Linked DNA regions of Callithrix jacchus. The protein of the gene in region 1 purifies or fractionates together with the protein of each later gene. This does not show direct contact. Links are inferred from orthologs where the notes say so. Each region holds a gene or a part of one and is shown on either strand. Other genes may lie near its edges.

Evidence for each region.
Region 2: the proteins of CARNMT1 (region 1) and RNF113A purify together in Homo sapiens (affinity purification with mass spectrometry; 3 studies listed by BioGRID and IntAct, counting the BioPlex papers as one, with this or other methods). This does not show direct contact. The link is inferred for Callithrix jacchus from reciprocal best matches to the Homo sapiens genes CARNMT1 and RNF113A.

What each region holds. Positions count from the first base shown.
Region 1 is NC_133502.1:89,837,712-89,853,968, forward strand, and holds part of CARNMT1 (carnosine N-methyltransferase), read left to right. Parts: exon of another isoform or gene 1-233; intron 234-7,622; coding exon 7,623-7,818; intron 7,819-8,986; coding exon 8,987-9,150; intron 9,151-16,257.
Region 2 is NC_133524.1:115,846,592-115,862,278, forward strand, and holds RNF113A (E3 ubiquitin-protein ligase RNF113A), read right to left. Parts: upstream 6,833-15,687; 5' UTR 6,732-6,832; coding exon 5,700-6,731; 3' UTR 5,650-5,699; downstream 1-5,649. Other genes in the region: NDUFA1 (NADH dehydrogenase [ubiquinone] 1 alpha subcomplex subunit 1), read left to right, coding at 7,030-7,131, 8,452-8,541, 11,614-11,634. UniProt on the Homo sapiens protein: Required for pre-mRNA splicing as component of the spliceosome. As a component of the minor spliceosome, involved in the splicing of U12-type introns in pre-mRNAs. E3 ubiquitin-protein ligase that catalyzes the transfer of ubiquitin onto target proteins.

The DNA.
Region 1 (16,257 bases):
TTAGATGACATTCTGATTAAGGTAAAAATGAGTATAGCTCGTTTGTATTGAATAGCAAAAATGTTAGTTTTATAACCCATTAGTTTTTTGTTTTGTTTTGTTTTTTTGAGATGGAGTTTCGCTGTTGTTACCGAGACTGGAGTGCAATGGCACGATCTCAGCTCACCGCAACCTCCGCCTCCTGGGTTCAAGCTATTCTCCTGCCTCAGCCTCCTGAGTAGCTGGGACTACAGGTGTGCACCACCATGCCCTGCTAATTTTTGTATTTTTAGTAGAGAAGGGGTTTCACCTTGTTGAGCAGGATGGTCTCGATCTCTTGGCCTTGTGATCCACCCGCCTCAGCCTCCCAAAGTGCTGGAATTATAGGTGTGAGCCACCGCACCCGGCCTTATAACCCATTCATTTTATAACCCAGTCTTACTATGAGTGAAACACCTCAGTACATAGAAAATATTAGAGTTGAAAAATTGAAAGACTTTTCAGAAACTTCTTACTTTTAGAGATAACAGGGTGAGATTATTTTAGGATGGGCGTGGTTGCTCACACTTGTAATCCCAGCACTTTGCGAGGCTGAGGAGGGCGGATTGCCTGAGGTCAGGAGTTCCATACCAGCCTGGCCAATATGGTGAAACCCCGTCTCTGCTAAAACTGCAAAAGTTAGCCGGGCTTGCTGGCACATGCCTGTAATCCCAGCTACTTGGGAGGCTGAGGTTGCAGTGAGCTGACATCGTGCCACTGCTCTCCAGCCTGGGCAACAGAGCAAGACTCTTGTCTCAAAAAAAAAAAAAAAAGAAAAGAAAAAGAAATAACAAGGTGAGATTTTTTAATATTGAGATTTAGAGCTCATTTTTACAGGTGAAGATGTGGATATACACAAAGCAGTAAGCAACTTCCTAAGGCTTACACAATCAAGCTGTGGCAGAATCTGACCTAAAATCCAAAATAATTACCTAAAATTTTCCTGTGGATTAATGAGGAGTTATACTAGTAATACAAATTTAATGTTAGGTGTTTAATAAAGATTTAAAATGAATCAAGACAGACTTTATTTCTGACAAGTTATGTTTTTTTCAATTTGGATTTCCTAGAGTAGTTCAACTAAGTGCAGAGGAATGGGCCTGTGACTATGGCCTTTAGTTCACCCTGATGACAGGTGACTAAATCAGAGTTGAAGTCACTGCTGACCTCAGAGAGAGTAGGAGGTAGAGATACTGTTGAGGAAAAATGGTTACTAAGTTTACTTTCTTCCCTCATCAGCAAGAGGATGTGGCCTCCTGATGCTGACTTAGTTCAGAACCAAGGAGGTCTGATTTTTGTCAAATATTCCTTCAAAGCAGATTTGGCAGTTTCTTAAAAGGGCCGGGCAGTAAATGTTTTAGGCTCTGAAGGCCAAGTGGTCTCTTGTTACAACTATTCAACTCTGCCCTTTAGTGGAAGGGACCTTAGGCTGTTTGTAATCACTAGTAGAGATGGGGTTTCACCTTGTCATCCAGGCTGGTCTTGAATTCCTGACCTCAGGCAATCCACCCGCCTCGGCCTCCCAAAGTGCTGGGATTACAGGCGTGAGCCACTTCGCCAGGCCAGATCCCATCTATTTTAAGAGTCACTGATGGATGGATGTTATGGCAGCTTTACACACCATTAAGTAACCAGGGGTTTAAGGATCCCATCGTGCTCTGCGTAGTTACTTAGCTTCTGTATCAGGAATTGACAGCTCTTCTAACCAATCTATAACTCATCTCAACTCACCCTTGCAACCTTGATACTACTTGGTAATAAGTAGTCTCCATGGAAAACCAATGGCATTGTGGGAAAGTAACTGAACATTTATTGCTTTTTACATATGCTGAAATACAGAGATACTGAATAATGACCAAGATGACACTGTGTTTTAGAAGAATTCATCTGATTAGAGGTGGAGCCGGGAGGGCAGGGGAGGAGTTAGGAAATAGAATTGAAAAGTATCCTGGGCTTATTGATTGTGGGACTAAGAGAAGAGGCATTTAGGTTGACTCCTTATTTTCTAACTTGGGTGCATGAAGGAAGGAGTGCAGGTTTTTGTGGGGCATGTGCAAAGTTCAGTTTGGATATGAGTTTTGAGGTGTGGTGAGAGAGAAGTTGTGGGGCAACCCCAGTGCTCAGAAGTGAACACGAGGAAGAAAGTTCTGTGAGGCTATTCAATCTGTTGATGGTGAACTGTTAAAGCTCTGCTATTTGCCTCACTTGTTGTGAATATACTCTGCTGTTAGGAATATAAATTGATGGAGTCTTTCTGCACATCATTTTATATCAAGAGCCTGAAAAATACTTATTCTTGGGAGTACACCAGGGGGTGGGGGCTCATGCCTGTAATCCTAATGCTTTGGGAGGCCGAGGATGGCAGATCACTTCAGGTCAGGAGTTTGAGACCAGCCTGGCCAACATGGTGAAACCCCATCTCTACTAAAAATATAAAAATTAGCCAGGCATGGTGGCAGGCACCTATAGTCCCAGTTACTTGGGAGGCTCAGCCAGGATAATCACTTGAAGCTGGGAGGCAGAGGTTGTGGTAAGCCGAGATTGTGCCATTATACTCCAGCCTAGGTGACAATGAGACTTCATCTCAAAAAACAAACAAAAAACCTTATTCCCCTTCTTACCTGGTAATTCTAATTTCAGGAATTTATGCTAATTGTTTTTCTAAAATATAGACAGATTTTGAACATAAAAAGTTCATCATAAAAACAAGTGAGTGTCTAAATGCCCAGTAGTTTGGAAATAGCTAAGTAACTATTGGTTACGAAAGATGGAATGATGAACATCCACTTTGTACCCCAACAAACATATACACTTATAATTTGTCAATATTCAGCTTGAATTAAAGTAAGATGCTAGATGACTTTGTCTTTTTTTTTTTTTCTTCTCTGTTTTGGAGACAGGGTCTTGCTGTAGCTTGCAGTGCAGTGACACAATCATGACTCACTGCAGCCTTGACCTTCTGGGCTCAAGCAAGCCTCCCGAGTAGGTGAGGCTACAGGCATACACCACCATGCCTGGCTAATTGTTTTTTTTTTTTTTAAATTTTTTTGTAGAGATGAGGGTTTTGCTCTATTGCCCAGGCTGGTTTTGAACGCCTGGCCTCAAATAGGCCTCTCACCTTAGCCTCCCAAAACGCTGGGATTACAGGCATGAACCACGGCAACTTTGTATTAAACAAAACAGTGCCAAAAGGCTAGAAGTGGTTCTCTCTAGAAGAGAAATTAGTAGCCTTTCTTTCCCTGTGTATTTTTAATTTTCTGCTTTGAACACTTTAATAATATAAATGAGATATACCTACTGTTTTCTGGAGTGCTTGCTGTGTTTTCAGCTATTGGGCTAAATCTTTTGAGTATGTTGTTTCCAATGAAACCCTGTCTAATAGGCAGAGGAACGTAATGCTACCTACCTCATTCTGGAGATGTTTCAGAATAATCAGTATCAACTGACTTGGTTTAGTCCTTGCCATTTATTAAATCTCAATAAATGGTAGATTCCGTGATCATCATCATTAGGGTTGTTCATTCTTATTTTGCTTCTGTATATGATAAAGTTGCAAAAAGGAAGTAATTTGCCTGATGCCCTATGGCAAATAGGTGTCATAACCTGGATTTCATCCCTGATCTTTCTGACTTCAAAGCTCATTATTATACTCTCTCCAGAGGGAGAAGTCAGTGGAACTTCTGTCAACTTGATCTCTTCACCATACCCCTAAGGGCCACCCCCACCAGGCCACCACACACAAGCTTGTAAAGTCGTGACTAGTGAGGTTTTTGCTTGTTTGTCAGGAGCTTCTTCTGAAGTTCATTACTGTTCAGCAGTTGGAATAATTTGGCATAAGGTAAAAATGAGAAAATTGTTTGTATGAATAAAGATTTAAGAAAGCAGATGACAAAGGTATTGAAAATGAAAATGAAACTGAAAATGAAAAATATTTTCGACTGGGCGCGGTGGCTCATGCCTATAATCCTAGCACTTTGGGATCACGAGGTCAAGAGATCAAGACCATCCTGGTCAACGAGGTAAAACCCCGTCTCTACTAAAAATACAAAAATTAGCTGGGCATGGTGATTCGCGCCTGTAGTCCCACCTACTCGGGAGGCTGAGGCAGGAGAATTGCTTGAACCCAGAAGGCAGAGGTTGCGGTGAGCCAAGATCCTGCCATTGCACTCCAGTCTGGGTAACAACAGCGAAACTCCGTCTCAAAAAAAAAAAGAAAAAGAAAAATATTTTCATTTAATATTGAATTAATACCAAAGAACATATAAACATATACACATACATATAAAATGTAGAGAATGATATAGTGAACACATCAATTGACCGCCTAGTTTTTTTAAAAACATCCTGTCTCTTTCACCCTCAGAATCATTATCCTGAATTTTTACATCTTTACTTTCTTTGTCGTTTTTCCACATATAATCAATCCCTAAATAATATATTTTGTTTTCTATAAAATGCAATTGTACTTTATGAATTCTTCCCCAGTTTTTTTTCCCAAAAAATGTATATGTTCCTGAGTTTTTTCCAGATGGTAATGGGAGTAACCAATTTCTGCCAAAATATATTAAGAGGTTGATTCTGGGTCACTGTGATAGTGACCACAGCCTGTGGTTACACAGCGTCAAATGGTCCTGAGAAAGTGTGCCCCAGGTGGTTGGGTTACAATTTGATTTTATACATTTTTTTTTTTTTTTTTAAAGATACGGTTTCACCATGATGGCCAGGCTGGTCTTGAACTCCTGACCTCAGGTGATCCACCCACCTCAGCCTCCCAAAGTGCTAGGATTCCAAGCGTGAGCCACCGTGCCCAGCTAGGTTTTATACATTTTAGAGAGAAAGGAATTACATGGAAGGTATATAGTGATCTCACCCAAAAGGTAGGACATCTTGAAGAAGGGGGTTATAAGTCATAGGTGGGTTTCAGGGATTCTTTAGTTGGCACTTGGTTGATAGAGGTAAGCTATTTTAAGTAGAAAGGAATGCCTGAGGTAGATAAGGGGCTTATGGAGGCCAAGGTTCTTGTTAAGTAAATGTAGCCTCCCAGGTAGCAGCCCTCGGAGGGAAGAGATTCTAAATGTCTCTTTTTAGACTTTAATGTTTTCAGGCTATCAGTTAATCTTTCCTAGATCCAGGAAAGGCGTAGAGAGGGAAGGCCTGGTTACATTAATGGAGATTCTTGACAGATGCACATTTCCCCTAAGAAACACGGCTTTGTGGGACCATTGAAATCTGTTGGCCCCATGGCCGCCATTTCAAAATGTCAAAGACATATATTTTGAGGTAAAACATTTTGATTTCCTTATGAGTCTGCAACGTGTCATATGATGCTATACCAGAGTCAAGTTGGAAAGTAAGTCATTATATAGGGTTAATAAAAACCTGTCTAACAAGATTTTATAGTTTGTAAGGCGTGACGCCCTAGGCCTCTTGGGAACTTGGAGAAGAGAAAAAAAAAAAAATCAATGTTCAGTCCTCACTCTTTTTTTTTTTGAGATGGAGTTTGGCTCTTGTTACCCAGGCTGGAGTGCAATGGCGCAATCTCGGCTCACCACAACCTCCGCCTCCCGGGTTCAGGCAATTCTGCCTCAGCCTCCTGAGTAGCTGGGATTACAGGCACGCGCCACCATGCCCAACTAATTTTTTGTATTTTTAGTAGACACAGGGTTTCACTATGTTGACCAGGCTGGTTTTGAGCTCCTGGCCTCAAGTGATCCGCCTGCCTTGGCTTCCCAAAGTGCTGAGATTACAGGCATGATCCCCTGTACTGGCCTGTTTGTTATTTCTAACAGTACTGTGACAAAGATTGTTCATGTTTCGTGTGGCCCATTTGCAGTAGTTTCTAGGAGTATAATTGCTAGGTCATAAGGCAAGTACCATGCTAAATTTTGCTAGGCAGTGCTCTAAGTTCTTTCCAAAGTGGTTGCACTAATTTATGCACTTACCATTAGTGTATAAATGTCCTAATTATACCATATTTTCACCATTTGATATAGTCAGGCTTTTAAATTTTAGCCATCTTGTTGATATAAAAATGATATACTGTTAGTGTATATTTAACTTTTAAAAATGATGTTTTGGCTGGGTGTGGTGGCTCAGGCCTGTAATCCCAGCACTTTGGGAAGCTGAGGTGGGTGGATCATGAGGTCAAGAGAACAAAATCATTCTGGCCAACATGGTCTTGATGACAACCCGTCGCCCTGCCACCATCTCTACTATAAATACAAAAATTAGCTGGGCATGGTGGCAAGCACCTGTAGTCCCAGTTACTTGGGAGGCTGATGCAGAAGAATCGCTTGAACCTAGGAGGTAGAGATTGGAGTGAGCCGGGATCGTGCCACTGCACTCCGACCTGGGCGACAGAGTGAGATTCCATCTTAAAAAAAAAAAAAGATTATATTCTTGTGGCCAGGCACAGTGGCTCATGTCTGCAATCCCAGCACTTTGGGCGGCCAGGGCAGGCACATTGCTTGAGTCCAGGAATTGGAGACCAGCCTGGGCAACATGGTGAAACTGGTCTCTATAAAAAAATACAAAAATATTAGCCGACTGTGGTGGCACATGTTTGTAGTCCCAGCTACTTGGGAGGCTGAGTTGGGAGGATGGCTTCAGCCTGGGAAGCAGAGGGTACAGTGAGCTGAGACTGTGCCACTGCATTCCAACCTGGGCAACAAGAGCAAAACTCCATCTCAAACAATAATAATAGTAATAATAAATATAAGTAAAAATAATGTTCCGTTTTCTTGTTTTATGAATAAGCAGTCCCCAGAATGGCCTTTGGGGTCATTTTTCTAATGCAAATTGTGGATATTGTTAAATAAAACACTAGAATTTCAGTGTTTTATTTCCTTAGTAATTTGTAGTGTATAAGATCTATGATATTTTTAAAAATTCAAGTAGGTTATTTTTAGTTAATTTCAGGATACATTTTGTGTGTATTATAATTTCACAGCAGTATTTATTTTGCTACTTAAAGATGTAAAAATCTGACCTGGTGCGGTGGCTCACGCCTGTAGTCCCAGCACTTTGGGAGGCCAAGGTGGGCGGATTGTGAGGTCAGGAGGTCGAGACCAGCCTGGCCAACATGGTGAAACCCCATCTCTGCTAAAAATACAAAAATTAGCCAGGCATGGTGGTAGTTGCCTGTAATTCCAGCTGCTTGGGAGGCTGAGGCAAGAGAATCGGTTGAGCCTCGGAGGCAGAAGTTACAGTGAACCAAGATCACGCCATTGCACTCTAGCCTGGGCAACAGAGCAAGACTCTGTCTCAAAAAAAAAAAACAAAAAAAAAACAAGGAATGATTTAAAGCATTTTGCTGAAAAGTTTAAGTTTAAAACACAAAAATTAATTAATTGTACATTAATCTTCTTTTCCCCCTTCTAATTGTTGCATATGTTTACTTTTACCAGTGATAAACCATATGTATTTTGGTTGCTTGAAGAAGGATTTGAAATAAAGTAAAAACATACAACTTTCAAAAAGCCAAGACACTGTAAATGATAGTACAGTATCCAGCATAATAATTGTACAGAAAGACAAACTTAAAGTAAGATTGGCCTCTGGTGAGAATTCTTTTGCAAATTTAAAAAACACCTTTTATGTTTTAGCACCAGTATGCATGAGCGAGTGAACCGAACAGAAAGACAGTTTCGATCACTTCCAGCTAACCAACAGAAACTACTTCCTCAGTTTCTTCTGCACTTGGACAAGATCCGGAAATGCATTGATCATAATCAAGAAATACTACTGACCATTGTGAATGATTGCATACATATGTTTGAAAATAAAGAATATGGAGAAGATGTATGTGAAAGTTTGTTCTATTTGTGTTTATTTTAGGGTCAACCTCTGTATTTTGATTTGGATTTCATTTTTATAATCTGGCACAGGCTATTTGCTCTGCTCAAGAAGTTTTCACTTGAATGTTCAGTTATTTGATCAGGCTTGATAGAATAGTATGCCAGAAACTGGATTTGCTGGTTACTTAATCAGGCTTAATAGAACAGTATGCCAGAGACTGTATTTGGTTTTCCTTTGTAAAATACTAACATAATTGTTAGGATTTTAATGCATTTTAACATAGTGTTCTGTTATGGAATATAGGACTAGTGACTTAAATTTTTTTTTTTTTTTGAGATGGAGTCTTGTTCTGTCACCCAGGCTGGAGTGCAGTGGCACAATATTGGCTCACTGCAACCTCTGCCTCCCAGGTTCAGGCGCTTCTCCTGCCTCAGCCTCCCGAATAGCTGGGATTACAGGTGTCCGCCACCACGCCCAGCTAAGTTTTTGTATTTTTAGTAGAGATAGGGTTTCACTATGTTGGCCAGGCTGGTCTTGAACGCCTGACCTCGTGATGCAACTGCCTCAGCCTCCCAAAGTGCTGGTATTACAGGTGTGAGTCACCATGCCCGGCCAGCAACTTAAATTTTTATAATCAACTTTACTAGCTAGAAATTAATTTCCCTTGCTTAACTCATATTTTTTCAGTGTCTTATATCTATTGCTGTTCATCTTTTATTGTATTAAATTATTTTCACTTATAAATCTCAAGGGCCTGGCAGTACATGGAAACTGAAGTCCTCTTTTTGTATCCACAGGATGGATACAGTTGGGCCACTCCAGTGTGAGCCTCTCCATGCTGCCCCATCAATGACCTGGAGGGACTTTCTTCCCTCTCTTAGAGAGGATGTTCGGTCTCCATAGCAGCTCAGTTTGGTCCTTTCCTGAGTAAAGACTGCTTAATTATATGGTGGTTTTATGATTAATGGACCTTAATCTTATGAGGGTAGCAGTGAGACCACCAAACTCTTTTCATTTAGGATCTCAAGCTGCACTTGAACCCCGGTTGAGGTGAGAGGCTAGTGAGTTATCCACTAAACCACCTATATAGCCCCTTAGTAGCATGTCTATTTAACCATAACAAAAATAGATTACTCTCTCAGAAGCTAATTGATGTCTGTTTTTTAAACAGGGGAATGGAAAGATTATGCCAGCATCTACATTTGACATGGATAAGTTAAAATCCACATTGAAACAGTTTGTGAGAGACTGGAGTGAAACTGGGAAAACAGAAAGGGATGCCTGTTACCAGCCAATCATTAAAGAAATTTTAAAAAATTTTCCAAAAGAGAGATGGTAAATACTTTGTTTTTAACCAAGTTTTTAAAGATGTACAAACACTTGAGTTTCTTGATAAGATGTTTCACAGTCTTGCTTCGTTGTTATAGTTGCTGTGTGCCTGTATCTTTTACATCTGTGTTATATTTTTTATTGGATGCTCTTTGTGAGGTTGCAGATATTTTGAATAACTTTGGTGCTGGGGTTAGGGGAAATTATTTAGAAATTAAATAATAAGATTAGATTGAAAATTATCAATAATGTGTGTCTTTTTATAATTTGCTTTATGGCAAAGCAAAAAACTGTAAACTTAATTCTCCTCATTATGACATAATTGTAAACAAGTGAGGGATCTGTACCTCTGAGCAAGCAGAGATTTCTAACTTTTGTGCCTTGGAACTATTGGTCAGTTTGAAGCCCGTGGTCTGCTTTTTAGAATAATTCTTTGTTTGTTTGTTTTGAGACAGTCTCACTCTGTTGCCCAGGCTGGAGTGCAGTAGTGTGCTCATGGCTCGCTGCAACCTCCGCCTCCTGGGTTCAGACGATTCTCATGCCTCAGACTCACAAATAGCTGGGACTACAGGCTTGTGCCACCATGCCTGGCTGATTTTTTATTTTTGGCTGGTCTGGAATTTCTGACCTCAAGTGATCTGCCCGCCTCTTCCTCCCAAAGTGCTGAGATTACAGGTGTGAGCCACTGCACCCGACCCAGAATAACAATTTTAAGTGCATAGGATTACAAAGAAAACAGTGATTTTGGAATACAGTTATAAAAATATTTTAAAAGCACATTTGTGATGCATGGTTTTTAAAAAATCATATTACTTTAAATACAATTTAGCTGCCAGTGTAGTTACTGTATTATGAAAGTGCTGAATGGTATATACACTATTTTGAGAACCTCAGCTAATGTGAAGTGAAAATATGTGTGATTTCTCTTCGAGATAAAGTCAAAGGTATTGCCAAAAACTATTTGTTGCCTGCATTCATAATTGAAGAAAAAAAAAATCAGTTTCTGAAATTAAAATGTATTTTTTCCCCATTCCCTTCAGAGACTCAGTGAATTCTATCCACAGACCTCTTGATGGATAGAATTTAATCTACCTACCCTTAGTCCCAGGTTAAGTACCCCTAATTTAGGGATATATATTTAATGAGAGTTACTGGATGGAATTCAGTCTTACTTAAGGATATTTTAGAGAGGCTCCTTTTCCTCCTCTCCTTCACCTCCTTATAGATTGACAGCTTTACATTTGAGTATATGCTTTCAGAAATTTCAATACATATGTCTCTTCGCTCTCTTTATTTTTTGTTGGGACATTTAATTTTATTATTATTTATTTATTTATTTTTATTTTTCACTCTGTTGCCCAGGCTGGTGTGCACTGGCTCTGTCTTGGCTCACTGCAACCTCCTCCTCCCAGGCTCAAGTGATTCTTGTGCCTCAGCCTCCTGAGTAGGTGCGATTACAGACACCCACCACTATGCCTGGCTAATTTCAAACTCTGTGACCATGTTGGCCAGGCTGATTTCAAACTCCTGGCCTCAAGTGATCTGCTCGCCTCAGCCTCCCAAGTGCTGGGATTACAGATGTGAGCCACAATGCCCAGCCTCTCTTTCTTTTTTAAACTATTTTGAAATAACTTTAAAATTACAGATAGTTGCATGAATTATACGGAAATCCCCTGAGTTCACTTATACTTTTTCCCTGAATTCACCAATTTTTAACACTTTGCCACATTTGCTTTTATTGTTTCCTCATGCTTCTTCCCTTCCTTCTTCTTTCCCCTGTATTATGTATGTGTGCGTCTGAAACCATTGAGGAAATTTAACCCTGGATACTGTTATGTAATTTACCGTCTATATTTGAGTTTCATAATTTACCATGGTTCATACCGATAACTCTTAATTCCAGTCCCAACTCTGTAGGGTTCTCCTTGGTTTTCCCTCTTCTCTATGTCTGTTTACCTCACTTCCAACAACATCAGTGCATTTATTAATTCGCACAGTATCTACAATACACACAAAATGGCTTCACAGTTGCTTCATCCATATCTCTGTGAAAAAGAAACCTATTAAAAAGAGTTTAGGATTTGCTAATAGTTGTTTTTTTCCCCTAGACTAAGGATGTATAGTGAATTTATTTTTTGCAGTTTACCCAAATTAGCTCTCCCTTCAATCCCCAGCTCCTAGTATTTCATTGCCTCCTGTTGTTCTGTACTCCATGTGGATAATCAGTATCACTGGCATCTTGTTTATCCATTCTTTTTTTCTTCGTGTTTTTTTAAAGTAAGTAGATGTGGTTTTTTCTCTTTCTCTCTCTCTCTTTTGTTGAGGGGGAACACAAAGTGTTTGTCTGTCATCCAAGCTGTAGTGCAGTGGTATTATCATAGCTCATTGTAGCCTTGAACTCCTGGGCTCAAATATTCCTCCCACCTCAGCCTCCCAGCTAATGTTTTATTTTTTGTGGAGACCGGGGTTTTTCTATATTCAACAGGCTGGTCTTGAACTCCTGGCCTCAAGTGATCCTCCTGCCTCTACCTCCCAAAATGTTGGGATTACAGGCTTAAGTCACTGTGCCTGGCCTCTTTTTTTTCTTTTTAATTACCGTCTTTGGTTATCCACAAAAAATATAGCATACCTTTATTCTGTACCTTGTTTTTTCACTTACTGTATCCTGGAAATAGCTATACTGCCAGTTCATAGACATCTTCAGTCATTTTTTTTCCAGCTGCAGATTACTCTGTTACTTGGATGTATCAGTTTATTCAACTAACTTTATCCTACATTAGGCTATTTCGGTAGTTGGCAGTATTTAGCAATTATACATAATGCTAAAATTAATAACTTCATGCCTATGTATTTTATATTAATGGAGGTACAACTTTAATTTTTATTTAAAAATTATTTGATAATCTTTTAAAAAGTCCATATTGTAATCTCAGAACTAATTTCTCCTGATTTTCCCCTACCAAACATTAGAATGTAAATAATGCAGAAGGATTTGTTTATTTTTCTTTGCAGCAGTTCCTGACCTCCCATGGTGAGAAATATCAGTTGGCACTTAATTGCATTATACTAAATTCTACCCAGTAAGGATGATTTTTTAGGTCTCAGTGCATGGGTTATGGAAATTTTCCATCATGCATTTTTCTGCTGCAGTTATAGGGCCTGTATATACTTATAAGAATTGGAGCTAATATCGAAGACAAAAAATTTCAGAACTCTTTCCCCCACAGTCCGCCAAGTTTTGAGGAAAATAAATATCAGTAGAAACAGCTCTGAAGAATTTATCTTCATGGTTCTGATAAGTAGATCTCATGATACCTGATTTAACAATACATGCAGATAAGATTTTTTTAAAAACAGTGTAACAACTTGGACAGTGCCGTGCAAACTCTGTAACCCACTGTCAACATGGTTCTGGATTTGGGCATGGATCATTTTAAAGAAAAACGAAGCTCTTATTTTTTAAAAAATTGTCAAAACTTGGAAGAGCTAGTCAGGTGCAGTGAAGTCAAGAGTTCGAGACCAGCCTGGCAAAGATGGCGAGACCCTGTCTCTACTAAAAATACAAAAATTAGCGGGACATGGTGGTATATATTTGTAATCCTAGCTACTCGGGAGTTTGAGGCAAGAATTGCTTGAACCTGGGAGGCAGAGATTGCAGTGAGCTGTCCTCCAGCCTGGCCAATAGAGCAAGACTGTCTTTAAAAACAACAACAACAACAACAACAAAAATTCGACCTTCAGTACCTTGGCCCTTAACTGACCCATAGTGATATTCAGTCACATCTCAAATGGTCAAGGATGTATTAAAAGTGGGATTGCTGCATAACACATTGATTTCACTGTTTCTAAGGGTCAGAAGTCTGGGCATGGCCTAACTGATTCTTCTGTGTAGGAGCTTACAAGGCAGCATTCTAGGTGTCTGCTGGGTTGTGTTTTCACCTGGAGGCTTGACTGGGGAAGAATCTGTTACTCATGTTTCATTTTGTTTAATTGCAGTTGAATTACTGAGGCAGAATTCTTTTCATTGTGGCTGTAGGACTGAGGGTCTTAGCTGCTTTCTGGCTGCCAGCTGGAAAGCTGCCTCATCTCCTAGAGGCAACCCACAGTTCCTTGTCTTTCCCAAAAGGACCACTTCATCAAGCCAGCAAGGAGAGGTGTCTAGATCAAGCAAACTGTCAACCGTCATATAGTTAACATTATTTCTGTATCATTTTCTCTCTTTCTCTTCTGGTACTCCAGTTACATGTATATTAAGTATTAAACCTTTTCATATCATCTCTTAGGTTTCACATGACTCTTTCCACACACTCCTTCTCCCAGCCCTTTATAGTATAGTTTGGATAATTTCTATTAATCCAACTTTAACTTCACTGATTCTTTATTATGCTAATCTGCTGATAAGTCCTTTGAAAGAATTCTTGATCTGACATGGCGGCTCACACCTGTAATCCCAGCACTTTGGGAGGCTTAGGTGGGTGGATCACTTGAGGCCAGGAGTTTGAGACTAGCCTAGCCAAGATGGTGAAACCCCATCTCTACCAAAAATACAAAAAATTAGCTGGGCATGGTGGTGGGTGCCTGTAATCTCAGCTACTTGGGAGGCTGAGGCAGGAGAATTGCTTGAACCCAGGAGGCAGAGGTTACAGTAAGCTGAGATTGTATCATTGCACTCTAGCCTGGGCAATAAGAGCAAAACTCCATCTCAAAAAAAGAAGTTATTTATCTCTCATACTGATTTCTTATTTTTAAAAATTTCTAGCACTTTCATACACATCCACATCCATATGCATATACTCTCTCCATACTGAAATTCTTTATCACTTTGTATACGTGATCTACCTTTTGCACTAGGTGATTTAACGTACTTTTTGTAGTTATTTTAAAATCCCTACCTAAAGATTCATATATTCTGTTCGTGTGACTGTTCTCTTGAAGGCTTCCTCATAACAATGAGTTCCACATTTTCTTGCTTCTTTGCATGTTTCTTTTTTATTTTTTGATTGAATGACAGACATTGTATGTAAAGGAATAGTAGACAATAAAGTAATATTAACAACCAGAAAAAAAATCATTTCTCCTTAATCTGTCAGGCCACTAGTTGGCTGGGGGGTCAGGGGAGGGTCATTCAATGGTCATGACTGAATCATTAAGTGATTTTAATTTCTAATATAGTTGCTAATATTACCTGCTTTTAATAATTACTTATTTGTCCATAAGCCTTGCATCTAGAAATATGGCAATGTAGGAATATTGTTGCTTTCTAGGAAGTGAAATGAAATGATTTCTGAAGTTTCATATGCATCTCACCTTTTGTGCATTTTTCCTGCATTAGAGTAATAGGAGTATCTTTGCAATATTAAGAAATACTTGGTATGGTTATACCGGGAAAAAGAAAAACAATTTGGGCTGGGCATGGTAGCAAACACCAGTAGTCCTAGCTATTCAGGAGGCTGAGGGAGGAGGATTGCTTAAGCCCAGGAGTTCAGGGCTGTAGTGTGCTGTGTGCTGTGATTGCACCTCTAATAGCCACTGCACTCCAGCCTGGGCAACATTGCAAAGTCTCATCTCTAAAGTTAAAAAATAAATTAAAAAATAAACTATTAGTTTTTATAGTTTCAATTCTCAAGTTTAGGCCTTTGATCCATTTTCAGTTGATTTTTATATGTGATATAAGGTAAGAATCCAACTTTATTTTGTATGTGGATATCCAGTTTTGCCAGCACATTTGTTAGAAAAAGACTGTCCTTTTCCCCCATTGAATGGTCTTAGTAGACTTGTTGAAAATTAGTGGACCATTTATATGGTTTTTTTTCCTGGATTCTGTACTCTAAACAGAATGCTTCATTGGTCTGTGTTTTTGTCTTTATGCCATAACATACTATTGTAATTGCTGGGCAATTTATAGTTTTATAAAATAGTTTTATAAATTTCAAAGTCAGGAAGTGTGAGTCCTCCTTTGTTTTTTTTTTCCAAGATTATTTTGGGGGCCTCTTGTAATTCTTGTGAATTTCAGGTTTTTTCATTTCTTTAGAAAAGGCTGTTGGACTTTTGATTCAGGATTGTGCTGAATAAATAGATTGCTTTGGGTAGTACTGGGGTCTTGACAACGTTAAATCTTACGCATTACCACAGGACGTCTTTCCATTTATTTAGATCTTTAATTTCTTTCAGCAGTGTTTTGTAGTTTTCAGTGTATAGGTCTTTTGCCTTGGTTAGATATATTTGTATGTATTTAATTCTTTTAAATCAAGCTTGTTCAACCAGCGGCCAGTGGGTTGCATGTGGCCCAGGACAGCTTTGAATGTGGCCCAACACAATTCATAAACTATCTTAAAACATTATGAGGTGTTTTCTTTTTCTCTCTTTTTTTTAAAGCACATTAACTATCATTAGAGTTATTTTATGTGTGGCCCAAGACAATTCTTCCAGTTTGGACCAGGGAAGCCAAAAAATGGGACATCCCTATGTTAGATACTATTATAAATGGAATTGCTTTCTTAATTTCCACTTCAGAATTTTTATTGCTGACGTAGTAGAAACACAACTGATTTTTGTGTGTTGATCTTTTCCCCTGCAATCTTGCTTTATTAGCTCTATTAGCTTTCTTAGGGATACTTTGTGGCCCACATTATGCAAGAAGAGATAGTTTTTACCTTTTCCTTTCCAATTTCAATGCCTTTTGTTTCCTTGTTTCTGTTCTTAGGGAGAAAGCTTTCAGTCTTTTCACCATTGACTAGTTGTTGGACTTTCATAAACACCCTTTATCATGTTGAAGAATTTTCTTCGTTTTTTGTTTTTTGGTTTGTTTTGTTTGTTTGTTTGTTTTGAGACAGGGTCTCGCTCTGTCACCCAGGTTGGAGTTCAGTGGCACCATCTCAGCTCACTGCAGCCTCAGCCTCCCAAGTAGCTGGGATTACAGGCACCCACCACCATACCTGGCTAATTTTTCTATTTTTAGTAGAGACGGGGTTTCATCATGTTGGTCAAGCTGATCTCATACTCTTGACCTCAAGTGATCCGTCCACCTTGGCCTCCCAAAGTGCTGGGATTACAGGTATGAGCCATCGCGCCCAGCCAAATTTTCTTAAGGTTTCTAAAGGTTTTTCTGATTAA
Region 2 (15,687 bases), on another chromosome or scaffold:
GAGTTCCAGAGCAGCCTAGGCAACATAGGGAGACCCCCATCTCTACCAAAGGAAAAAAAATCACCCCAGTGTGATGGCCAACGCCTGTAGTTCCAGCTACTCAGGGGGCTGAGGTGGGAGGATTGCATAAACCCAGGAGGCGGAGGCTGCAGTGAGCTGAGATCGCGTCACTGCACTCCAGCCTGGGTGACAGAGTGAGACTTCATCTCAAAAAAAAAAAGTGATTACCTGAGGGTGTGATCCTGAGGGTGTGATCTGGAGGGGATCCATAAGGGTCTTCTTCAGTGTTTTCAGTTTTGTACTTCTTGACCTGCAGTGTGGTTATGCAAGTGTTCTTCTGTAATTACTGGTTCTCTTACAAAGCTGTGTTTTATGCACTTTCCTGTCTCAGGCCTTTGTACCGGGTGTTCTCTGTCTGGAATGCTCCTCCACCCAATATCTGTTTCATGTAGGTCTCTGCCCAAATGTCACCTTATCAGAAGAAGCCCTCCTTGACTACCGTATATAAAATAGCAATTCCCTAGATCCCTGCACTCTTAGGCCTTTACCTTGCTTTATCACTGTTCCCAGCACTCATGGCAATCTGGTATACATATATATAAACCTGTCACTATCTCTCATGCAAATTCTTTTTTTTTTTTTTTTTTTTTGAGATGAGTTCTCACTCTGTCACCCAGGCTGGAGTGCAGATCACATCTCACTACAACCTCAAACTCCCAGGCTGAAGGGATCCTCCTGCCTAAACCTCCTGAGTAGCTGGGACTACAGGCACATGCCACCCTCCCTTGCTAAGTTTTTTATTTTTTATGGAGATGGGGTCTCACTTTGTTGTCCAGGCTGGTCTCCAACTCCTGGCCTCAAGTGATCCTCCTGCCTCGGCCTCCTAAAGTGCTAGGATTATAAGTGTGAGCTACTGTGTTTACTTCATGTACGTATGAGAGCAGGGACTTGTGTGCTTTTGTCATGGCTGTATCTCCAGTGTTTACTGCCTGTCATGTAGTGGGTGATCAAGACAAGTTTGTTCACAACCACCAGTCTAGTCTAGTGTACCATCATCTTACCTGGACCAGTGCACCACCCCCATAACTGACCTCCCTGTTTCATGTCTGGCTGCCTTCAACCCATTCCCCACTCTTCAGAATTATCTTTTGAAATTCAAATCTGATCATCTCATTTTCCTTCTTAACTCCCCCTCAACTTTTTGTGTGTGTGTGTGTGAGACAGAATTTTGCTCTGTGTCCCAGGCTGGAATGCAGTGGTGCAATCTCAGCTCACTGCAACCTACACCTCTCAGGTTCAAGGGATTTTCCTGCCTCAGCCTCCCGAGTACCTGGGATTAAAGGCGCCCACCACCACACCCACCTAATTTTTTGTATTTTTACTAGAGACGGGGTTTCACCATGTTGGCCAGGCAGGTCTTGAACTCCTGACCTCAGGTGATCTGCCCACCTCGGCCTCCGAAAGTGTTGGGATTACAGGTGTGAGCCACCACGCCCGGCCGTTAAAACGCTTTGATGGCGCATTTTTGCTCTTCAGATGAAGTCCAAAGTCTTTAACTTGACTTGCAAGTTCTCTGCTCTTTGGCCTTAACTACCTTGTCTCTTTTCCCCAGCCACCTTAAACTGCTTTGAGTTTTTAGTTGGAGGTAGTCTCTCACATTGGGGCCTTAGTATATATTTGTTCCTCTACTTGAGATACTCTTTCTCCAACTCACTTCTTGAGTCTCAGTTTGAGGCTCATTTCCTAGGGGAGACGTAAGAGCCCTGACTTCTCAAACTAGGTGAGCTCCTTTACAGTCCAGCTGCAACCTTGTCTCTGCTGGAGTGCTTGCTTCCCTCCACCTATTTAGTTTCTTTTAAATTGTAAGAATAACTATTTGGTTCCCACCTATGAAATGAAGTTGCACCATTTAATTAAAGGTTATGAAAATATTCCTCACATATAGAAAATGTAATCATAAGCTTGTAAACATGAAAGTACTTTGAGTTCACTATTGATTTAGGTGCTTTTATGGAGTTATGGTCCCTTTTAAGAATCTGCTGAATGCTTTGGACCCCAGAATAATGCTCATTTGCAAGTACTTTGTATACTTTTTCAAAATTTACAGACAAGGCAGGGTGCAGTGACTCATGTCTGTAATCCCAGCACTTTGAGAGGCCAAGGCACACAGATCACTTGAGGCCAGGATTTCCAGACCAGCCTGGCCCATTTAATGAAACCCTGTCCCTACTAAAAATACAAAAAATTAGCTGAGCATGGTGGTGCATGCCTGGTAGTAATTCCAACTACTCGGGAGGCTGAGGCAGGAGGATGGTTTGAACCTGGGAGGCAGAGGTTGCAGTGAGCCAAAATCTCACCACTGCACTTGAGCCTGGGTGACAAAGTGAGACCCTGTCTCAAAACCAAAAAAAAAAAAAAAAAGATTCACAGACAAGTATTATTCAAAAATGTCATGTGGAATAGTACACAAATGCCATCTTTCTCTTGCCCTCTCAACTCTTCAAGACTGATTTATGCTCTTAATTCTGTCACTTTTCTGTTCTACCTCCTAGAATTTAGTCATCAGCAGCATTCTTTCACCTTTTATCATCTGTGTTTTCTCCTGGACCTTTTCTCTCAGCTTATGTAAGAGATTATAACTCAAAGCATATCTTTTTCCATAAAGCTTTATTCTACCTAAAAAAAATTTTTTTTTTTTTTTTTTTTGGTGCTGTGACTCAGATTCTACTTTTGAATAACTTTTTTTATTTTTATTTTTTAGAGATGGGAGTCTCGCTATGTTGCCCAGGCTGGTCTCGAACTCCTGAGCTCAAGTGATCTTCTAATCTTGGCCTCCTGAAGTCCTGGGATTACAGGCATGAGACACTGTGCCCAAACCTGAATAACTTTTTTAGTATAAATTCTCAGAAATGGTTAAAAAAAAATGAACAATTTTTCTGGTTCTTTTGCTACTCATTGCCATATTTCTTTTTTGTTTTGTTTTTGAGACAGGGTCTGTCACCCAGGTTGGAGTATAGTAGTACAGTCACAGCTCACTGCAGCCTTAATCTTCTGGGCTCAAGGGATCCTTCACCTCAGCTTCCTGAGTAGCTGGGACTACAGGTGCACATCACCACACCCAGCTTTTTTGCTTGTTTTTTTTTTTTTTTTTTTTTTTTTGTAGAGACGGAGGTTTCCCTGTTGTCCAGGCTGGTCTCCAACTCCTGGCTGGCCTCAAGTGATCCTCCCATCTCGGCCTCCAAATATGCTGGGATTACAGGCGTGAGCCACTGTGACTCACCTCCAGGACACTTTTCATTTCTTTCTTTTTCGTCTGAAGCTTTGTGTAGGACATGACACTTTTCAAAATGCTTTCCTAGGCCAGGTATGTGGCTCATGCCTGTAATCCTAGTGAGTTAGGAAGCTGAGGTGGGAGGACTGCTTGAAGCCAGGAGTTTGAGACTGGCTTGGGCGACATAGGGAGACCCTATTTGTAATTAAAAAAACAAAACAAAACAGGCAGGTCACGGTGGCTCACACCTGTAATCCCAGCACTTTGGGAGGCCAAGGCAGACAGATCACATGAGGTCAGGAGTTCGAGACCAGCTTGGGAGGCAGAGGTTACAGTGAGCTGAGATCACACCACTGCACTCCAGCCTGGGTGATACAGTGAGACTCTGTCTCAGAAACAAACAGTCATTATTTAATGTCCAGCTCCATGAGGGTATGGGCTGTGTGTCTTGTTCACTGCTAACATCCCCCATACCAAGCACAGTGCCTGATAAAGAGTAGCTACTCAAAGAATATCTTTAGGCTGGGTGTGATGGCTCACACATGTAATGCCAGCACTTTGGGAGGCCGAGGAGGGCAGATCACGAATTCAGGAGTTCAAGACCAGCCTGACCAATATGGTGAAACCCCATCTCTACTAAAAATACAAAAATTAGCCAAGCATGGTGGTGCACACCTGTAGTCCAAGCCACTTGGGAGGCTGAGGCAGGAGAATCACTTTAACCCGGAAGGCAGAGGTTGCAGTAAGCCAAGATCCCGTCAATGCACTTTAGCCTGGGCGACAGAGCAAGTCTCAGTCTCAAAAAAAAAAAAAACTTTTAAATGGATTAATGAAGGTGAATAAAAACTATTAACCCAGAATTTATTCTTGCATCTGTTTTTAGGATTAGCCCAAATTCGAATCATATCAATAAAAATCATTTGGCCTAGCTTTGCGCAGTGGTAGTATCGTAGCCAATGAGGTTTATCCGAGGCGCGATTATTGCTAATTGAAAACTTTTCCCAATACCCCACCATGATGATTTGAAATATAGTCAGCGTTGGCAATTTTTGACAGTCTCTACGGAGACTGAAAAAAAAAATCATTTGGCCTAACTGGCCTCCCTGCCTCTTGTCTTCCATCTCCCTATGATCCAACCTATAGCCCAAGACAGTAACACTATAAAAACAAACAAACAAACAAGAAAAACCCAAGTCTGATTGTGTTCTCTTCCCAAATCTCTATCTCTCCCACTGCCTACAGAATATAGTCAATGTTCCTCAACTTAAATTCAAGGCTTTGGCTCCAATCTCTCTCTCTCTTTTTTTTTTTTGAGACGGAGTCTCACTCTGCCGCTGCCCAGGCTGGAGTGCAGTGGCACAATCTCAGCTGACTGCAACCTCCCAGGTTCAAGCGATTCTCCTGCCTCAGCCTCCCGTGTATCTGGGACTACAGGCCACCATGACACCATGGTGGCACTAGCCGGGCAAGTGCCAACATGCCCGGCTAAGTTTTGTATTTTCAGTAGAGATGAGGTTTTACCTTATCGGTCAGGCTGGTCTAGGACTCCTGATCTCGTGATCTGCCCACCTCAGCCTCCCAAAGTGCTGGGATTACAGGCATGAGCCACCGCACCCTGCCCCCAATCTCTCTTTGTAAACCTCCCTAGGCTTATTTATTAAGTGCTTATCATATGCCAAGCACTAGGCTAGTCACTGAGTTCATAAACCAGTTGGAAAGACAGGTACACTGACTAATTTTAATAAGGCATGATCAGTGCTATTATAGAGTCTGTGAGAACACAGATAGTTTCAGGTGATGATAAAATATTATGTTTTTGTCCCCCTGCAGGTTCACGAGTTCAGTCTACAACAGCTATGTCCGATATGGTCATTAGCTACATTTCAAGTGGTCAACAGCCACATGAGGCTAGTGTCTGTCTATCACACTGGATAGCAGAGCACAGATCACTTTTATCATCCATAGAAGGGGGGTTAACTATTGCTGCTTCCAAGACAGCAAGGAACATTTTCCATACGTGAAGTCTGTGGTACTAGCTACCAATCGCCCAAACCCAACCCCTCTCCCTCACACCTTGGCTCTGATATATTTTGTAGTACAGGCTCCTAAGAGAAAGAATGCATGAAAGTACCTGGTAAACATTACGTGATACAGAAATGTGATATAATAAACAGGCTCAGAGTTCTTGCTTTCATCATAGCTTTGGCTACTTCGAGCAAATTCTAGCTCTTTTCTCAAACTACTCCCATCTCTATAATTTATGCCAAAGTGTTCTAGGGCTAAAAATCCCGATTATACCTACCTTGAAGCTTTTAATCCAGGACCCTACTTCACCACCCGCCTTCTGTCACTTTCTCTAAAAGGACACGAATTAAGACTTCCAAAAGAACAAAATATTTATTTTTTAAATTTAAGAATTATGGGAAGCCTAAGTAATGGGAATTGGATCCTCATCGGGGTCTTCTGGGAAGTTGGAAGCACCACCCTCTCCTGTAGCACGATGCTTCTCTAGTTTAGCAATCAATTCTTTCGCTGGATTGAAGACGCCGTAGGTCTGCTGGTCACAGACAAAGCAGCGCGGGGTGGTACGGAAATGCTGCAGTGCACATCTCTCGCAGAAATAATGCCTGCACTTGGTGACAACTGGGTTTTGGAAGCTCTGGCGACAGATGAAACATTTGAATGGTATTTCCTCATCATCGCTTCCCACTTCATAGTTTTCATCCTCATAGACACCATAGCGACCCTCATCAAGCTCACGTTCGATCTGCCACCCATGCTTGTAATCTGAACGGTCATGGAGGAATTTGCAGCTGTCTCCGAAGCCGCAGAAGCCAGTCTCTTTGTAGTCCTTACAGATGTCGGGCTGGTAATCCCAGCGCACGGTGGCACGTAGATGCTCGGGCGCTCGGATGGGGCCCTTCCTCACCATCCCGGAAGAGGCATTGCCCATAGACGTATCCTTGGGCTTCATGTATTTCTGATAATTGTTGATTCCCCGATAGATCTTGTCATCCTCCTTGCCCCTCAGCTCCTCCTGGATCTTCTGGCTGCGCTCAAAGATGGCTTGTGCATCGCGCTCTTTCTCTGTGTCCAGCTCATAGACGGCTGTTGCCCCCATATCCTCTGGTCCCACGGGTTTCGCCGAGCGGGTGGATTTATAAACCACGCCGAGACTCTCGGGCTCATTTTCCACCTCCTCCTCGCTGCTCAAGTTGCCGTAAGCCGCCTTCTGTCTACCACTGTCACGGGTCTTCTGTATCATTGGATTGTGGGTCGTCCGCTTCTTTTCCGGTCGAATCACAGTGCAGCCTTCGTCGCTACTGCTGCTGCTTTCTCCAGGCTCTGGGTCGCAGGCCGGGCGCTTTCTGCGTCCAGCAGCCCCTTTCCGCCCAGGCTTTTTGAAAAGGAAGGTGCACACCTGATCCGCCGTTTTTCCTGGAGAAAGCTGCTCGGCCATTTTAGAGTCCCGAGCTCCGAAACGGCCGTGGCTGCCTGGGTAGCACTTGGCCTCCGCGCGTCACTCCACGTTGCGCGCTCCGCCGCTAGTCAAAGCAAAAGACTGTGGCGGAAGAAGACTGCGAGAACGCGAACGCTAGCCTCTCTTGAGCCCTGGAGGATTCCGTCGCTTCCTCCGGAGCCGTACGTGGCACCGCCCCGCTCGCTGGCGGCCGCGGGGCTTACTGGGAAGAGAGCCGGAGATCCGTCACCTTTCAAGGACTCAGAAGTAGGGTTTTGGTCTAGGTAACCGGGCAGAGATGTGGTTCGAGATACTCCCCGGACTCGCCGCCATGGGCGTGTGCTTGCTTATTCCAGGACTGTCTACTGCGTACATCCACAAGTTCACTAACGGCGGCAAGGTAAGGGGGCTTGAGGGCGCGGGGGCCGACTCCACGGGCTGATTTCCGAAAAGGGTGGGGGGCAGGGAGGCATCAGCTTGCGGACCCTCTCTCCGAGGTCGGCCTTCTCCTTTCTTAGGGTTGCCTAGAAGCTGAGGCTTGCGAAACGAAGGTTGGTAGAAAACACATCCTGCTCTAGTGAAAACCAGCGTTTTAGGGTGGATCAGAGTGGGCCTTAGGGCAGAGTAGCGACTCGGGGCCCGGAAAGGTAGATTAGAAGAGGTGGCTTAAGTCTGTAATCCAGCACTTTGCGAGGCCGAGGCGGGCGGATTACCTGAAGTCGGGAGATCAAGACCAGCCTGACCAACATGGTGAAACCCCGTCTCTACTAAAAATACAAAATCAGCCGGGTGTGGTGGCGCATGCCTGTAATCCTAGTTATTTGGGAGGCTGAGGCAGGAGAATTGCTTGAACCCGGGAGGTGGAGGTGGAGGTGAGCCGAGATCGCACCATTGCACTCCAGCCTGGGCAACAGTCACGAAACTCGTTTCGAAAAAAAAAAACCAGAGGTTCTCCTGCCTCAGCCTCCCGAGTAGCTGGGACTACAGGCGGGTGCCACCACGCCCGGCTAATTTTTATTTTTGTTTGTATTTTTAGTAGAGACGGGGTTTCATCATGTTGGCGAGGCTGGTCTCGAACTCCTGACCTCAGGTGATCCACCCATCATGACCTCCCAAAGTGCTGGGATTACAGATGTGAGCTCCTGGCCACCCATAACTTTTTTATTCTCCACTTTTTGTTGCAAGCCTTTAATAATTTACTGCAAGATCTTATTTTATTTTTATTATTTTATCTTTTTGTAGAGATGGGGTTTCTCCATGTTGGTCAGGCTGGTCTTGAACTCCTGACATCAGGGGATCTGCCTGCCTTGGCCTCCCAAAGTGCTGGGATTACAGGCAGGAGCTACCGTGCCCGGCCAAGATCTAGTTTTTTACATTGGGATTCATTTTCCCTCTTCTAGCCCTTCACATTGTCTCTAGTATAGAGTATAAATTTATTTACTTTCTGGTTTTGTGATTGTCCTCCTTCACCTGAGTTTCTTAGTGTCCCAAAAGGCAAGAACTAGACATTTCTTTAAAAAAAAAAATTCATGTTGGTTAAGATAGCGTAAGAAGTCTTGGTCACCAACTTAATTCTAAAGTTTAGTGGTCTGATTTTATTTAGGAGATTGTAGTCTTGTATTATTAATTTTTCTAGAATGTCTCCTTTAAAAATCGAAATACCTATCAATTGGGTCACTCACTTTTATAAACTGCAATAACAATTGTCTCTTATTTGAAGGAAAAAAGGATTGCTCATGTTTTGTATCCATGGAATTTGATGGAAAGAGATAGGCGCATCTCTGGAGTTGATCTTTACTATAAGTCAAAGGTAAGATGCCACTCTGATGCCATCCTTCTGCCAGGGTTGAGGTGGGTTCTGGTAATACCTTGCCAAGGGTCATACATTTTCTTATCTACTAGTGAGGTTGGCATCTTTTTACATATTTAATCTTTTATATATATATATTTTTAGTCTTTCTTACTGTCATATATTTCTTACTCTGTGGATTGTTGCCTATATCCTTTGCCTGTTCTATTGTTTGTCTTTTTCTTTTTGATCTATAGTTCTTTATATATTCTAGACTTTAATTTTTTGTCTATTTTATATTTGACATTTTCCCCAGTCTGCTGTTTGTCTTTTTCACTGTATGATGTGTTTTATCAGGTAGTTTTAAATTTTGATATTCAATTGATCATGTTTTGTTCTGAATTTTGGGTTGTTGTTTTTTTTTTTTGAGATGGAGTTTCGCTGTTGTTACCCAGACTGGAGTGCAATGGCAGGATCTCAGCTCACCGCAACCTCCGCCTTCTGGGTTCAAGCAATTCTCCTGCCTCAGCCTCCCGAGTAGCTGGGACTACAGGCGCACACCACCATGCCCAGCTAATTTTTGTATTTTTAGTAGAGACGGGGTTTCACCTTGTTGACCAGGATGGTCTCGATCTCTTGACCTCGTGAACCACCCGCCTCGGCCTCCCAAAGTGCTGGGATTATAGGCGTGAGCCACCGCGCCCGGCCTTGGATTTTGGGTTTTTATGTCTCCCATACAAAGGCCTTTTCTATCCAAAATTATAAAAATACTTTGAAAAAATAAAATAGAGACAGTCTTGCTGTGTTGCCCAGGCTGGCCTCAAACTCATAGGCTTAAGTGATCTTCTTGCCTCAGCCTTTGGAGGAGTTGGGACTGCAGGTGTGCCACTATACCTGGCTCATAAAAATACTTTAAAAGTTTTCTCCTAATATTGTTTCTTTTTTCTTTTTTTAAACATTTAGTTATTTGGTCCACCTACAGGTCATTTATATAATGTGAAGGAAGGATTAACTTTACTTTTTTACAAGAGGTAGCCAGTTATCACAGTTATGCATTTATAGAATGGTTTAGTAGTCCTAGCTACTCGGAAGGCTGAGACAGGAGGACAGCTTGAACCCAGGGGTTTGGTGCTGCAGTGACCTGGGATCGCACCACTGCACTCCAGCCTGGGTGAGAGAATGACAGCCTGTCTCAAAAAACAAACAACAAAAAACCTACCACGAAACACCCAATTCATCTTTATTTGTAATACCATTCTAGTAAACTAAATCTCCATGTACACATGGGCCTGTTTCACAGAGGTGCTTTTCTGTACTCTATAGGTCTGTCTATTCCTGCAACAATACCTCATTTAAATAATTACTATAATTGTATATACATTGCCAGTTTTGTAGGTCAGAAATGGCCAAGCAGTAGCATTTTCATAAGGCTCAACCTAATAGTACGTTTTTTGGGTTTTTTTTGTTTGTTTGTTTTGGGTTTTGTTTTGTTTTGTTTTGTTTTGTTTTGAGACATGGTCTCACTCTGTCACCCAGGCTGGAGTGCAGTGGTACACTCTTGGCTCACTGCAACCTCTGCCTCCCGGGTTCAAACAATTCTTCTGCCTCAGTCTCCTGAGTAGCTAGGATTACAGGCACACACCACCATGCCCAGCTAAATTTTTTTTTCTATATTTTGGTAGAGATGGAGTTTCACCATGTTGGCCAAGCTGGTCTCTTAACTCCTGACCTCAAGTGAGCCACCTGCCTTGGCCTCCCGAAGTGTTAGGATTATGGGTGTGAGCCCCTGCGCCTGGCCCTAATAGTATATTTTCATATTTTGTAGGAGTAGTTCATTATCATAATTCTTTTAAAAATGTTTACTTTTTAATATTTTCTCCTTGCTTATTTATTCCTCACAGCAAACCTAAGTAAATAGTATTTCCATTTTATAGACAAGGGTCAGAGTGATTAAATAATATTATAGGGACTCAACCTGGGTGATATACCTCTCAGTGGAGGGGTAGTTGAAAATCTAATCTAATGAACATGATAATAGATAATCATATCTGGAGCCATATTTTCAAGAATAGCTATCAGAATCACCTGGCATGTGAGACAGAATTAGGATTACTAAGAGACAGCTCCAAGGAAGTTGCAGTTTTAATTTCTCTTAAGGCAGTTCTTCATGTAATAGTAAACCAAATACCTGGACTATGTTATTTAATACTTAGAAGAAGTGTCACCAATGATTAATCATTTAACTTATAGCTTCTGAATTATTTGGTTGACAACTTAGTAAGATCCAGTAGGTATTTTGTATAGTGTAGTGCTTGTCGGAGAAGGGTTCCCTGGATTTGAATTCTGGCTCTGCTAATTCCTTATGGACTTAAGCAGGTGACTTTTAACCTCTCTGAGCCTCCATCTCCTCATTTGTAAAAAAGTGGAATGAGGATAATAGTATCTGTTGGCTGTTATTTTTTAAAACAGATTTTACCTTCTTGTCCTCTGACTCACAGAGGTGCTTTGTAAAAGGATCCACGTGGAGGCTGGGCACGGTGGCTCACACCTGTAATCCTAGCACTTTGTGAGGCTGAGGCTGGTGGATCACCTGAGGTCAGGAGTTCAAGACCAGTCTGGCCAACATGGCAAAACCCCGTCTCTACTAAAAATACAAAAATTAGCTGGGTGTGGTGGTGCATGCCTGTGATCCCAGCTACTCGAGGGGCTGAGGAAAGAGAATCACTTGAACCTGAGAAGTGGAGGTTGCAGTGAGCCGAGATCGTGCCACTGCACCCCAGCCTGCACAATGGGAGCGATTCCATCTCAAAAAAAAAAAAAAAAGGATCCAGGTGGTAGAGTTGCTTGACTTTAGTTCTGATTCGGGGTAGGGGAAGATTTCTGTTTTCCTGTAAAGCAATATGTTTGCTGCTGTCAGAAAATGAAAACTAGACATCATTACAGGTTATTCTTTAGTGATTATAAAATTTAATCCAATGTATTATTGCAGTTAAAGAAATGTAACAGTGCCATTTGGTGACATGAAATAAAAGTATATCACATGTCTTTGTTAGGAACAGACTTCTCACATTCTCCTTTTAAACTGTTTTTCAGGGTTTGGAGAACATTGATTAAAGAAGCATTTTCCTGATTGATGAAAAAATAACTCAGTTATGGTCATCTACCCCTGCTAGAAGATTATACAGTATGTTATGTAGCATGCAGTGTGTTATGTAGTGCTTAATAAAAATAAAGTGAAAAAAAATCAAAGGCATTTCTTTTTTAAAATCATACTACACAAAATGAAGCAATCTACCCAGTGAAGTCTTTATCACTTAAAAAAAACTAGAAGGCCTGTGAGGCTTGTATAATTACAGACATAATGTACATCAAGCACCTGTCTCTGTGCCTAGCATCTAATACTTCAAAAATTGTAGTTGCTACCATTGTAATAGATACTATATTTAACTTTATTTATTTACTTTTTTTTTTTTTGAGATGGAGTTTCGCTCTTGTTACCCAGGCTGGAGTGCAATGGCGCAGTCTCGGCTCACCGCAACCTCCTCCTCCTGGGTTCAGGCAATTCTCCTGCCTCAGCCTCCCGAGTAGCTGGGATTACAGGCACGCGCCACCATGCCCAGCTAATTTTTTGTATTTTTAGTAGAGACGGGGTTTCATCATGTTGACCAGGATGGTCTCGATCTGTTGACCTCATGATCCACCCGCCTCGGCCTCCCAAAGTGCTGGGATTACAGGCTTGAGCCACCGTGCCCAGCCTGTTTATATTACTTTTCATAGAGTGTTGCCCAGGCTGGAGTGCAGGGGCATGATCTTAGCTCACTGCAACCTGTACCTCCTGGGTTCAAGTGATTCTCCTACCTCAGCCTCCCGAGTAGCTGGGATTACAGGTGCACACCACTGTGCCCAGTTAATTTTTGTATTTTTTAGTAGAGACAGGGTTTTACCATGTTGGCCAGGCTGGTCTTGAATTCCTGACCTCAAATGATCCACCTGCCTTGGCATCCCAAAGTGCTGGGATCACAGACATAAGCCATTGTGCTCAGCTGACACTATTAACTTTTACAGTTTCTTCAGAGATAACTAGAAAATACAGAAAAAGTAGTAGTTTTTTTTTCTAGTTTCTTTTCTGAGTGGATCCTATAATGTTTAAAATTCCAGTTGGTCAGGTTTGAGCTGGGAAGGGTTTAAAAAACAAATTCCAGGCCGGGCATGGTGGTGGCATATGCCTGTAATCCTAGCTACTCAGGAGGCTGAGACAGGAGAATCATTTGAACCTGGGAGGCGGAGGTTGCGGTGAACAGATCGTGCCACTGTACTCCAGTCTGGGTGACAAGAGTAAGACTTCGTCTCCAAAAAAATTCCAGTTGGGAGATGTTTAAAACAGATTGTACCTTGAATCATGCATTCTGTATGGTATCTAACAAATAGTATATGCTTAAGGTAATGTTTATTTTAGTATACTGCAGCAACATCAATCATTTGGTTTATTAAAATGAGAGTGTACTGAGCACTTGAAATAAAGAGTTGCACGAGACACAGTGGCTCACCCCTGTAATCCCAGAACTTTGGGAGGATGAGGTGGGTGGATCACAAGATCAGGAGTTCGAGACCAGCCTGGCCAGTATGGTGAAACCCCATCTCTACTGAAAATACAAAAATTGCCTGGGCATGGTGGCACGTGCCTCTAGTCCTGACTACTCGTGAGGCTGAGGCAGGAGAATTGCTTGAACCTGGGAGGTAGAGGTTGCAGTGAGCCGAGATCGTGCCACTGTACTCCAGCCTGGGTGACAGAACAAGACTCTGTCTCATAGAGTTGCATGTTCAATGTTAAAGGTAACCAAATAAGATCTGAAAAGATGTAGCTAAAGATGGTGATAACTCCATGTGTACGCAGCAACACCACAGATGACACTTACAGGTGAGAATACCAAGTTGCTTTTCATATCTTATCCAGTTTAATATCTGATCTGGTGATTACCTTGAACACACCTGCACTGTGTGATTGCTATTGATCTCATTTTACAGTGCGAGGCTTATAGAAGGAAGTGGCGTTTATCCTTACAGTAGTGGCTATGTTGTGCCATCCCTTGATAGGCAATGACCTTGTACTGTTCAAGGAAAGCCTGGTCATGATTACAAACTTAATACTACCTGTATTATCATTTAGTGCTTCGCAGCCTTGTGTAATTTACGGTTAAAATAACTACCCCTGGAAAGGAAGAAAGAGGGCAGGTAGTACACATAGGGACTCATGAATACAGAAGATGTATTGAAAACATGACTGATTGATCGCTACTTTTGCTGATTTCTAGGTCTGTTATTTCTCCACTTTTTCTCTAGTTGGAAATCATCCCCCGTTTTTATGTCCTTAGCCGACTATCACAACTGTATACTGAGGGGCTCCAAAATGACAGATAGAGTCTGCTAGGTTTACGGTTAGAGTCCAAATTCTTCACTGCCCTTTTTTGTAGCATCTGCTATGAAATTGAGATTTATTTTTGTACTCTACTGCTAGGGAGTGAGCCATGTTAAAACACTTTCAAGATAGGAGTTTAACTGGCGTGTAGTCTGGATTTCTTTTGATTTTTTTTTTTGAAAGTGCAGTTAGAAGGGTGTTCTTACAGCAGCTCTAACAGTGGTACAGCTACTGATCTCAGATCCATCTGTCACCGGCCTGTTAAAATGCTGCTTAGGAAACAATCCCATTCGCTCGGTTTTATTTACTATCATTAAGATTTTAAAAAACAGATGTTAGGCAGGGTGCGGTGGCCCACGCCTGTAATCCCAGCACTTTGGGAGGCTGAAGCAGGCAGATCACTTGAGGTTGGGAGTTTGAGACCAGTCTAACCAACATGGAGAAACCCTGTCTCTACTAAAAATACAAAAATTGGCTGGACATGGTGGTACATGCCTGTACTCCCAGCTACTCGGGAGGCTGAGGTAGAAGAATCACTTGAATCTGGGAGATGGAGGTTGCGGTGAGCCGAGATCACACCATTGCACTCCAGCCTGGGCAACAAGAATGAAACTGTCTCAAAAAAAAAAAAAAAAGGCCGGGTGCGGTGGATCACACCTGTAATCCCAGCACTTTGGGAGGCTGAGGTGGGCGGATCACGAGGTCAGGTGATCGAGACCATCCTGGCCAACATGGTGAAACCCCATCTCTACTAAAAAATACAAAAATTAGCTGGGAATGGTGGCGCATGCCTGTAGCCCCAGCTACTTGGGAGGCTGAGGCAGGAGAATTGCTTGAACCCGGGAGGTGGAGATTGTAGTGAGCCGAGATTATGCCACCGCACTCCAGGCTGGTGCCTGGCAACAGAGCGAGACTCTGTCTCAAAAAAAAAAAAAAAAAAGATGTTATGCCCTAAGTGCATGCAAAAAAACAAAACAAAACGAAAGAATAAAAAAAAGATGTCACATTATTCACCTAGCTCAAAATGCAACAATATGAGGTGTGCAGTGAAAATAGTTGCTCTAATGCCCTGCCTAGCACTTGTCAATTATCACACCACCCCAAAGGTGTGACAATTTTTTTTACTTTATTTTTTATTTTTATTTTTTTGAGACGGAGTTTTTGTTCTTGTTGCCCAGGCTGGAGTTCAATGGCATGATCTCAGCTCACTGCAACCTCCTCCTCCTGGGTTCAAGTGATTCTGCCTCAGCCTCCCAAGTAGCTGGGATTACAGGCACCTGCCACCACACCCAGCTAATTTTTGTATTTTTAGTAGAGATGGGGTTTCACCATGCTGGCCACACTGGACTCAAACTCCTGACCTCAGGTGATCCACCTACCTTAGCCTCCCAACGTGCTGAGCCACTGTGCTCAGTGTGGGTTTCTTTTTACTTTAAAAATAATCCTTTGTTGGTGTATATATACACATTAAAAAAATAATAATCCTTTTTTGCCACATTGTACTTTGGGAGTCTGAAGGGGTGGATCATTTGAGGTCAGGAGTTTGAGACTAGTCTGGCCAACATGGTAAAAACCCGTGTCTACTAAAAATACAAAAATTAGTTGGGCGGTAGTGGAGCATGCCTGTAGTCCCAGCTACTTGAGAGGCTGAGGCAGGAGAATCGCTTGAGTCTGGGAGGTGGAGGTTGTGGTGAGCCGAGATCACACTACTGCATTCCAGTCTGGGCGACAGAGTGAGACCCTGTCTCAAA